2 linked regions of the Arabidopsis thaliana genome follow. The protein of the gene in region 1 interacts with the protein of each later gene in a biochemical or structural test. Each region holds a gene or a part of one and is shown on either strand. Other genes may lie near its edges.

Region 1 (4,889 bases):
CATGCATCATCACTTATCTCCCCCTTCTCCAAAGTTCTAGATGTCATATGATTTCCCCACGTCTTTTATTTAGGATGATACAATTATCTATGCATTTGATCATTCGCAAGGACGATTAGCTGAATTCAATTGTATGTTAAGAAAATAAATTACAGGACTAAGTTGAAGATGTAGCTGCTGCTGATGAAAGTGTTGAATGATACAAGAAGTAATACATGATTTTATCTGATAAAATTGCTGAATGATTCAAGAAATAATTCAGGATGCGACAGTTTTGTGTGAGTATCGGTTTCTAGAAGATTTGAGAAGAGCGTGTTTAGAGGATGAATCAAAAAAGAAAAAGGACTTAAAGAGATTTGGAAGACTTGATGAAAGTGGAGTTTGATGAGAAAAAGGATAAGAGTAAATTTACTTTTTCTTATGGAAAAAGGAAATCTTCTCCTATGGTGATTAGGAAATCGTTTTGGCTACATAAGGAGGAGGTAGGACGTCTTGGAGAGGCAGGAGAGCTGAGACATAAAGACAAATCATTGAGAGCTTTCTAAGGGTGTGTGCGACATAGTTTCACGGTTTTATGCGACATAGTTTCGCGGGTTTGGTGCTTGTGTGATCAAGCTTGTTTGTTGGTGCGTGAAGGTTATTCCAGAGACTTGGAGAATTGAAGTCTAGGCTCAGAAGGAGTTTAACTCAGGGTTAGGTTATCCTGATTAAATCTAGACTCAGGGGAGTTTAGTTAAGGGTAGAGATTATCCTTAAGGTTTCACGTTTATAGAAGGGAGCGGTAAATCAAGAGGGGTGTGCTTGTTTTACGCGTTTGCGAATTCATTGTAATTTGCTTTCTTGTTCTAGTGAAATCGAAATCTGGACGTGGTCCCGGGGAGTAGGAAAAACCGAACCTCGTTAACAAATTTCTTATCTCTTTACTTTCTGCACTTTATTATTACCTCATCCGCACTTACATAAGTAGTAATCAAAAATCTCAACTAATACGATGGCGACCGAAATGTTTTTAGAAAGTTAATTTATCTACTTACATATGATCAATAATGCAAGAGTAATTAATTCCTCGCATATGAATGGAGATCAAATAGATAGTGTTTGTAGGTTCCGTGTTCGCGTATCGAAATAAAAAAATCAATTCCTAAATTTCTAGATTGTAGTTTGGGTCTTTCTCAATTTTATTGTAAATCAACTTTGTACCTCACTCTAACTATGAATTACTTATAAAATATTTCTATCAATCCTTTTCAATCTCACTAAAACCATCCAAACAAACCTACGTGGAATCAAAGTTCATATAGTATGAACATGAAGAACACTAGAAGGTCCAAAGATTCAGCCTAGATCAATGTTAGCTAGAGTCTTTTTTGTTTGTTTGTTAATTTGTTGATTGTTAGCTAATTTTATATCCCCATGAAATGAAAGATTAGACATAAAAAACCCACAACATACTTTCACACATACTAAAAAGCAAAGTGTTTGATATGCCATGTAATTCCCCAAAATAACATATCCTTAACCTTAATATATAAAACAGTGGTAACTAAAATTGGTTAACGAAAAAAAAAACAAAAATTGGTTAAGGATTGTTTTTTATTTTTTGTAAGTTGAGGGTTATTTTGAAACATATTGGCTAGTTTGAGGGTTTTCTTGCTAATTAATAAAGAAAAACGACAAAAAACAAAAAACATGGTTCTAACAATAAACCGAACAAGCGTGGTATGGTTCTATTACTAAACAGAACAATATAAAAAAACGGTTTAATTTACCCAAACGAATAAGAACAATAACCAAAAACTCCCAAATTAATTTTGCTTAAGCAGCAGCAGAAGAAGAAGCATGGCGGAACAAGAATTACAGAGAATCAATGAGAAGAAGCCATGGCAAGTTCTCGAGTTCTACAGTGGAATCGGTGGAATGGTAACAGTCTCCTTCACCTCCAATTCTATGTTTTTAGTGAAGTCTACTCTGTCTCATAAACCCTAATTCCTTTTTGCTCTTAGAGATACTCTTTAATGGCGTCAGGCATCGTCTCAGAAGTAGTAGAAGCTTTTGAGATCAATGATTCTGCTAATGATGTTTATCAACATAATTTCAAACATCGTCCCTATCAGGTTGCTTAATGCTTATATATGATATAATCAATAGAAGCATTGTTACATTTGCAAATCATAGATGATGCTAGTTCTGTGACTTAGTCCATGATTAGTTCTTATTGTTTTGGTTGTTTTTCATAGGGGAATATTCAGAGTCTCACTGCTGCTGATTTAGATAAGTATAATGCAGATGCTTGGCTTCTTTCTCCTCCTTGTCAACCTTATACTAGACAAGGTGATTCATTTCACTGTTGTTTTCTTTACTATCAACATGACTTGCTTTTGGATACTAACAGTTTTTTTTTGGTTAGGCCTTCAGAAACACTCTGGTGATGCTCGGGCTTTTTCGTTTCTCAGGATTCTTGAGCTTATACCGCATACAACAAAGCCTCCACAAATGTTATTTGTAGAGAATGTTGTTGGATTTGAGGTATAGTGTTTGCTTATGCTTCCCAGCTAGAGTACTTGTTCTCGATCATCTTCTTTGAAGTCGTGACATTTTTGCTTATTGGTGGTGTTTGTTGGTGCAGACTTCGGATACACATATGGAAATGATTGGTACATTAACAAAATTAGATTATGTCACACAAGAGTTTATATTGAGTCCGCTGCAGTTTGGTGTGCCGTATTCAAGACCACGTTATTTCTGCCTGGTACTTTCTCTTTACCTTATGATTGCGTAGTGCATATCTGTGTACCTAAAACTGTTAATTTTAGTAGTCTGAGAATGTATAAGTATATGCTGATTATGAAACTTTCTCATGTAGTGTGCACTTTCTCATGTATATGCGTTAATCTTTTTGTTTTAGTTAAAACGTCACTAACTTTGAAATCATTTGATTTACCTGGTGTCTTTGTAGGCCAAAAGAAAACCTCTGCCATTTAAGTCCCAACACAGTAATAACAAACTACTCTGGTCTCCAGACCCGTTATATGGGCGTGATGATCAGGTTGAGTTTGGAAAATGTCAAGCAGAAGAAGGATTGGATAAATTACTTGAGTTTTGCAAACCAGTAGAGAAGTTTCTCGAGTTAGCTGCACATGTTGATGGCGAGCCAAGTAGTGTTGATGACTCTGAAAATGGGTCCAAAGATTGTTGTGGACAAGAAGGCGATTCTGTCCCAGACTCTGTACATCAGTATCTAGTACCAGTTAGTTTGATAGAGAGATGGGGAAACGCAATGGACATTGTTTACCCTGATTCAAAGAGATGTTGTTGTTTCACAAAGAGTTATTATCGATACGTGAAGGGCACAGGTTCCCTATTGGCAACTGTCCAGGTACGTTCTTCCATGGAGTATACAATATTACTTTCCTCTGTATTTGCAAAGTGAAAAGAAATGCTTATCGTGAATCTGTGATCACGCAGCCAAAAATCAAGGGTAAGGAATCTTGTTTGAAGGAGCAACGGCTTAGATACTTCACCCCTAGAGAGGTTAAGCACTGTCCTTTACTTTTACTACTAATGCCTCACTGAAAAAGTCAGCTTTATTTCATTGAAAGATGATGTTCGGTTTCTATTTGTTTAGGTAGCTAACTTTCACTCATTCCCTGAAGATTTTGAGTTCCCCAAGCACATAAGCCTTCGACAAAGGTACGCTGTTCATACCGTCAACACCATCTAAGCCAGAAAAAGCTACTGTCTATATAGATTATGTGCATCCAAGTATAACAGAGGCACCGTTTTGATTCGAATATAGAATTTAACCCATAATACCCTTATTTCTCCCGTACTTCCTGTTTGAAATGTGGAAATAGTTGAACACAAGAACATGAATCTCATGAACTCCTCTTTGTGCAGATACGCAATGCTTGGAAACAGTTTAAGTGTAGCAGTGGTGGCTCCTCTGCTTCGGTATCTATTCGATTCTTGACTACACAATTTGATGCACTAAGTGACGCGACCAATTACCGGAATCAGTTATTCTCCTGAACAAGCTTCTACTACTTTTTTGTTTACTGATAAAGTTCAAACTGATGAACTTACGTTTTGTTATCGATCCTTAACTTTATGGGCCAGTATTTTAAATGGGCCTTATTCGGCCCGTTAATCATAATTTCTTACCCAAATTTCCGTAAAAAGTGACCATAATATTGGCATGAGACATGAGTCTTTTGACTGTCTCTCTCTCTCTCTCAGTCACTTTAAATTATTTGAGCAGCCGCAGCGAGAGGAAGTTTTCTTCAACTGCGACGGAGCGTGAAGTTCACGCTCCGGCGGTACTACCTAAGGTTTGTCGTTAGGGACGTTACTTTTACGTTATTACTTGCTTCTTCGCCACTTTTCTTCATTTTTTCCGACCAGAGATATTTTGTTCCTCCTTGTACGTACAAAGTGTTTGTTCTTTTTTTACTTTTCCAATTTTTTGGCTCTAATTTTATGAACAAATGCAAGTAGGTCATCATACAAACCCTAATTTTGCAGAACTGATCCAGCTTTGAAAAGAAAAATGTTGCCTAAGAATGCTATTGAGAAGATCCAAGCAAATGTGAGCAAGCCTTGCTTCTGGAAGTCTCTCTCTCCAGGACAAACTTGGAAATCTAAATCCATGGTAACTTCAATTATGACTCACTCCTCCTTTGATATTTACTCACTGTTCTTAGACTCTTTCTATTGAATTTGCTTTGTTACAAGTTTATAGCTTTGGATGTTGTTGCTAGAACAGTAAGATGTGATAATCCTTTCATGTTTAGTTTAGCCCTTTTATAGACAAGTTATTACAGAACTACCCGTTTGTTGTTGTTTGAAAAAGTTCAGATCTTTTCTTCTTTTAAGAAACTTTGGAGACATTC
Region 2 (4,927 bases), 1.3 Mb from region 1:
TCAGTGGAGGTGACACCGGAGTTTGTTTTACTGAACAAAGAACCTGAACCTGATCCAAATGATCCTTCAAAACTTGTCCAGAAGGAGGACCCTGTTATTTTACATACACCAACAGGTCGAATAATCAACTATGTAGAGGATGAAAAGCATGGCATTCGACTATTTTGGCAGCCTCCTCTGGAGGAAGGAGAAGAAGTGGATCCTTCAAAAGTTGAGTTTCTGCCACTTGGGTTCGACGAGTTCTATGGGAAAGAAGTGGTAGTGAAAAAGGAACACCCAATAAAAAGCTTTGTACTTGGAATCGAGAAATCGGTGAAGCCGATGCTTGACGGATTAGAGAAATGGACAGAAGAGAAAAAGAAAGCATATGAGGAGAGAAAGGAGATGATACAGCAAGAACTTGAGTTAGTAGAGGCTGAGATTTGCTTAGAGGAAGCTATAGAAGATATGGATGAAGAATTGAAGAAGAAAGAACAAGAAGAGGAAAAGAAAACTGAAATGGGTTTAACTGAAGAGGATGAAGATGTTTTGGTCCCGGTTTATAAAGAAGAGAAAGTTGTCACTGCCAAAGAGAAGATACAAGAGAATAAACAAGAAGAGAAATACAAAGATGATGATGATGAGGATGATGACGATGGTGATGATGATGACGATGATGATGATGATGATGATCTTGGGCCATCAAGTTTTGGATCTGCAGACAAGGGAAGGAGGAATTCTCCTTTTTCTTCATCCTCATTGTCTTTTGCTTCGTGTACCCTCTTTCCTGCGGTAATACTCTCTCTTATTTTTCAGTATAATCTCGGTTTGTCTCGATTAGAAGAAGTTAGTGTTGATATATGTAAACTTGGCAGGTACAATCAAGACTAGAAAGCTCATTTCTAGCATGGAAGCAACATCGAGCAGAACCATCAAAAGTGAACACAGGAATCATCAAAGGTGCTGATACCGCATCAGCTTCAATCCATTTTCCTCCATTGTCGAGTAACAATGCTAGATTGAAGATGGGAAAGGTAGCAAACCGAGGTTGTGTCCAGAGAAGCTATGGAAGCTCAAGATCTCAGTCTCAGTTAATGTCTCTATCACGACTACTTTCTTGCAACGCATCATCATCTTCTTCTCCTCCCGATAGCAGCTCCAGTGAATACCTCAAAGACTCCGGCCTCTGGGAAACACCGGTTGGGGACATGAGCGTGGTTTTGTCGCTGCAAATTCAGACAAAATGTTCTGATTTGTTTGCTGAGACTCCTGCTGTGTCTTGAGTCTCTCTTCTTCTGTAGCATTTAGCTCGAGTTCTTATGCACTTCAAGGCTTCTTTTTTTGGTGGACAAGATCATTTGAATTTTTGTTGTATTATCTAATAAATATTTTACCGAAACTATTTAAACGAAAAAACTGAAGATTTATTTCTGTTTTATTTTTCATAATCATATGATTTAGAGAATGAGAATCGAATAATCTCAGAATATTTAAGTTAATATTTCATTTATCAATTTAGAATCTTTACCAAATATGCAAATAATTTTACATTAACGCAAATATTCCAAAATAAAGGAAGCGTTACGAAATTAAGGGCAAAACGACGCCGTGTAGACTCTCGAAGAACCCTAAAGAGACTTCTTAAACCTCATTCGATTATAAAATAGCCCCAAACCCACTGCCTCTTTCACTGCAATTTCTCTCTTTCGCTTCTAAAAAAAAACCTAACAACCTCTCTTCTCTCTTCCTCGTTCAACAACAATGGAGTTCTGGGGTAAGATTCTTTATTTATTCCTCTTATATCTTCCGTCTACTGTTTCTATTTTCCACGTTCCGAGAATTTTGATCGATTGTTCATATAAGATCGTATTTAGCTGTATTTCGTGTATATGTTCATACCTTGTTGCCTTTGTAGCTTATTTAGGGTTTAGGTTTCACATAGAGCTTGGTTTCGGTATCAGCTTTGATTATGTGTAGATGTTTTACAAGTTGATGAGTGACTCATGTTTGATTTCTTTGTATAATGTTATTTAGGAGTTGCGGTGACACCAAAAAACGCTACTAAGGTGACTCCTGAAGAAGACAGCCTTGTCCACATTTCTCAGGTTATTTTCACACTTCCAAACTGTATAAAGTTTTTAGGATTTAGCTTAATACAGTCTCTTTATGTTTTGGTTCTCTTTCTTTATGTGTAGGCTTCACTTGACTGCACAGTGAAATCTGGAGAATCTGTGGTTTTGAGTGTGACTGTTGGTGGGGCTAAACTTGTTATTGGAACACTTTCACAAGACAAGTTCCCTCAGATTAGCTTTGATTTGGTTTTTGATAAAGAGTTTGAGCTTTCACACAGCGGTACCAAAGCAAATGTTCATTTCATTGGCTACAAATCCCCCAACATCGAGCAATATCCTTTTTTTGATAGATTTGACTAGGTGTTCTTTGTCTCTATATTTAAGACTGGAAGATACTAGAAGGTTTAGCTACAATGTCTTATTGGTTGTGTATTCCTTAATTCTTGTTGATTGAGTTTCCACGGATGACTTCACTAGTTCGGATGATGAGGATGTTCCTGAAGCTGTTCCTGCTCCTGCCCCTACTGCTGTTACTGCCAACGGTATGTGTTGTTGATGCTAATATTGTATTTGTTTCTTTTATTGAAAAGTTGTTATCTCATATGTCAATTTCTTTTGACATTTCAGGAAATGCTGGAGCAGCTGTTGTCAAGGCTGACACAAAGCCAAAGGCCAAACCTGCCGAAGTGAAGCCTGCAGAAGAGAAGCCTGAATCAGACGAGGAAGATGAGTCTGATGATGAAGATGAGTCTGAAGAGGATGATGACTCTGAGAAAGGAGTGAGTTTTTGTAGCTGTTTATGATATCTGTTTTTCTATCTAGAGTACTCATATATACAGTCAGGAGAAGATGAGTAGTTGGTTGATAAATTATATGGTGATGTTTTTTTGTAGATGGATGTTGATGAAGATGACTCAGATGATGACGAGGAGGAGGATTCTGAGGATGAAGAAGAGGAGGAGACTCCTAAGAAGGTAGATACATTGTCTATCAAGCAGTTCTTTGTTTACTTTACTTTTTACATAATTTAATTCTCCTTCTGACCTTAATTGTATCATATGATTTGTGTTAAAGCCTGAGCCAATCAACAAGAAGAGGCCAAATGAATCTGTATCCAAAACACCCGTCTCTGGAAAGAAGGCAAAACCAGCAGCAGCACCAGCTTCTACTCCTCAGAAGACAGGTGAAAAGATGAAACTCTCTTTGTTTTTGTTCCTTAGAAGCATTAGATAGTTAAATAATGAGAAAGCTTTCTTAGTAATTTGTTGTATACTCTGTTGTATTCTGACGAAAGAGATATCTTCACATTGTGTTGTTGGTACAGAAGAGAAGAAGAAAGGAGGACACACCGCCACACCACACCCAGCTAAGAAGGGTGGAAAGTCTCCTGTGAATGCTAACCAGAGCCCCAAGTCTGGAGGTCAATCATCCGGTGGTAACAACAACAAGAAGTGAGTTGTCTCTTTCTTTATCTTTCTCATAGCCCAAAGATATGAGTGAAAATGTTAATTGGTAATGATGTGTAATGGTATTGTGTGTGTACAGGCCATTCAACTCAGGCAAACAATTTGGTGGTTCCAACAACAAGGGTTCTAACAAGGGCAAGGGAAAGGGTAGAGCTTAAGGACGTGGATCAAGGAGAGGTTTTGGGTTTTCGAGTAGATGATGAAAACACTTGGAAGTGTGGTTTTGGATTTTTATCTTATTTTATTAGTATAACTTGTTATCGGATGAGCTATTTTGAGTATTTGCAATTTCTACTTTCCTATGTAATTCAGTATATGAATATTTGCTGAAATGAGAAAGAAGACTCGAATTGCAAACACAAATTGAGTTTATTACTTATAGAGTATAAACACCAAAATTGATGCATAATAGCCAAATCAAATTACCAAGCCTATCTTTGAAATCTAACAACGTTGATTTCACAAGCACTAGAACATCTCTGGAATGTCATGAGTTCCCTAACGACGAGAGACTCTTGTTCCTCGCTATGACAATCTCTGCATAGCTTAAACTTCTTGAGGACTAGCGAATTCTCAAGGAAATATTTTGATAGTTTCATCTCTTCTCCACTTCCATAGTTTGGTCGTATAATCTCAACATTCTCAAGGCTTGATTGCAAACACTTCGGCACTGATGATGATAGACTGATTTCTTCATTTTCCATTTCACCTTTCAGCTTCTGCATATGTCAATTATCCCAAACAGTTGAATAAACGTCTTTTATAACAGTGACAATGAAACATGTGGTTTTTAAAGCAAAATCATTTACCAAGACAAGTGATTTGAGATTTGGACAGCTCTCAAGAACGCATGGCAACATTTCCAAATCACAAACATAGAATTTCGCATGTAACCGCGTCATGTTACGAAACTGAGGCATCGGCTCGTGCTTCAAGTAGTGACAAATGATCTGCAAAACACAAAGAAAATGCAGTTTTCATCCTAAGAGACACATTCAAATGACCAGTTTTATATATTTGTATGCATATATACCTTCAAAGTTGTTCCACTAATAGTCATGTCCCTTAAGCTTGAGAGCCCGGTGAGAAATTTACCGACATTGCTTCTCTCGAACGACTCCTCTAGATCCCAAATATCGGACACATTAAAACTGACCTTGATATCTGCCTTTGCAGATGAACACAAATTGTTTATCACAAAACTCACTGACTGATCATCTTTAAGACTTAGATACACGAGCTGAGGAGCATCAATGACAACCTTCCAATCGTCACTATCATCATTATACCAACACTTGGAACTATCAATAACGAGTTTGAGACTGTTTAGTGACTGAGAGCTCACCCTTAAAACCTTCTCAGTGGCTTCATCTACATTTCTAACAACAGTTAAATCTTCAAGAACCGGGC

What was found.
Region 2: the proteins of DNMT2 (region 1) and HD2B form a complex in vitro, tested with the Arabidopsis thaliana proteins (one study listed by BioGRID).

What each region holds. Positions count from the first base shown.
Region 1 is NC_003076.8:8,869,150-8,874,038, reverse strand, and holds DNMT2 (DNA methyltransferase-2), read left to right. Parts: upstream 1-1,776; 5' UTR 1,777-1,839; coding exon 1,840-1,920; intron 1,921-2,003; coding exon 2,004-2,114; intron 2,115-2,237; coding exon 2,238-2,331; intron 2,332-2,407; coding exon 2,408-2,526; intron 2,527-2,626; coding exon 2,627-2,749; intron 2,750-2,956; coding exon 2,957-3,376; intron 3,377-3,465; coding exon 3,466-3,531; intron 3,532-3,625; coding exon 3,626-3,690; intron 3,691-3,897; coding exon 3,898-3,970; 3' UTR 3,971-4,174; downstream 4,175-4,889. Other genes in the region: AT5G25475 (AP2/B3-like transcriptional factor family protein), read left to right, coding at 4,547-4,648.
Region 2 is NC_003076.8:7,532,380-7,537,306, forward strand, and holds HD2B (histone deacetylase 2B), read left to right. Parts: upstream 1-1,566; 5' UTR 1,567-1,740; coding exon 1,741-1,753; intron 1,754-2,013; coding exon 2,014-2,084; intron 2,085-2,174; coding exon 2,175-2,383; intron 2,384-2,513; coding exon 2,514-2,593; intron 2,594-2,678; coding exon 2,679-2,830; intron 2,831-2,944; coding exon 2,945-3,025; intron 3,026-3,125; coding exon 3,126-3,234; intron 3,235-3,375; coding exon 3,376-3,502; intron 3,503-3,596; coding exon 3,597-3,675; 3' UTR 3,676-3,948; downstream 3,949-4,927. Other genes in the region: emb1211 (MORN (Membrane Occupation and Recognition Nexus) repeat-containing protein), read left to right, coding at 5-771, 855-1,262; AT5G22660 (FBD, F-box, Skp2-like and Leucine Rich Repeat domains containing protein), read right to left, coding at 3,949-4,236, 4,327-4,467, 4,551-4,927.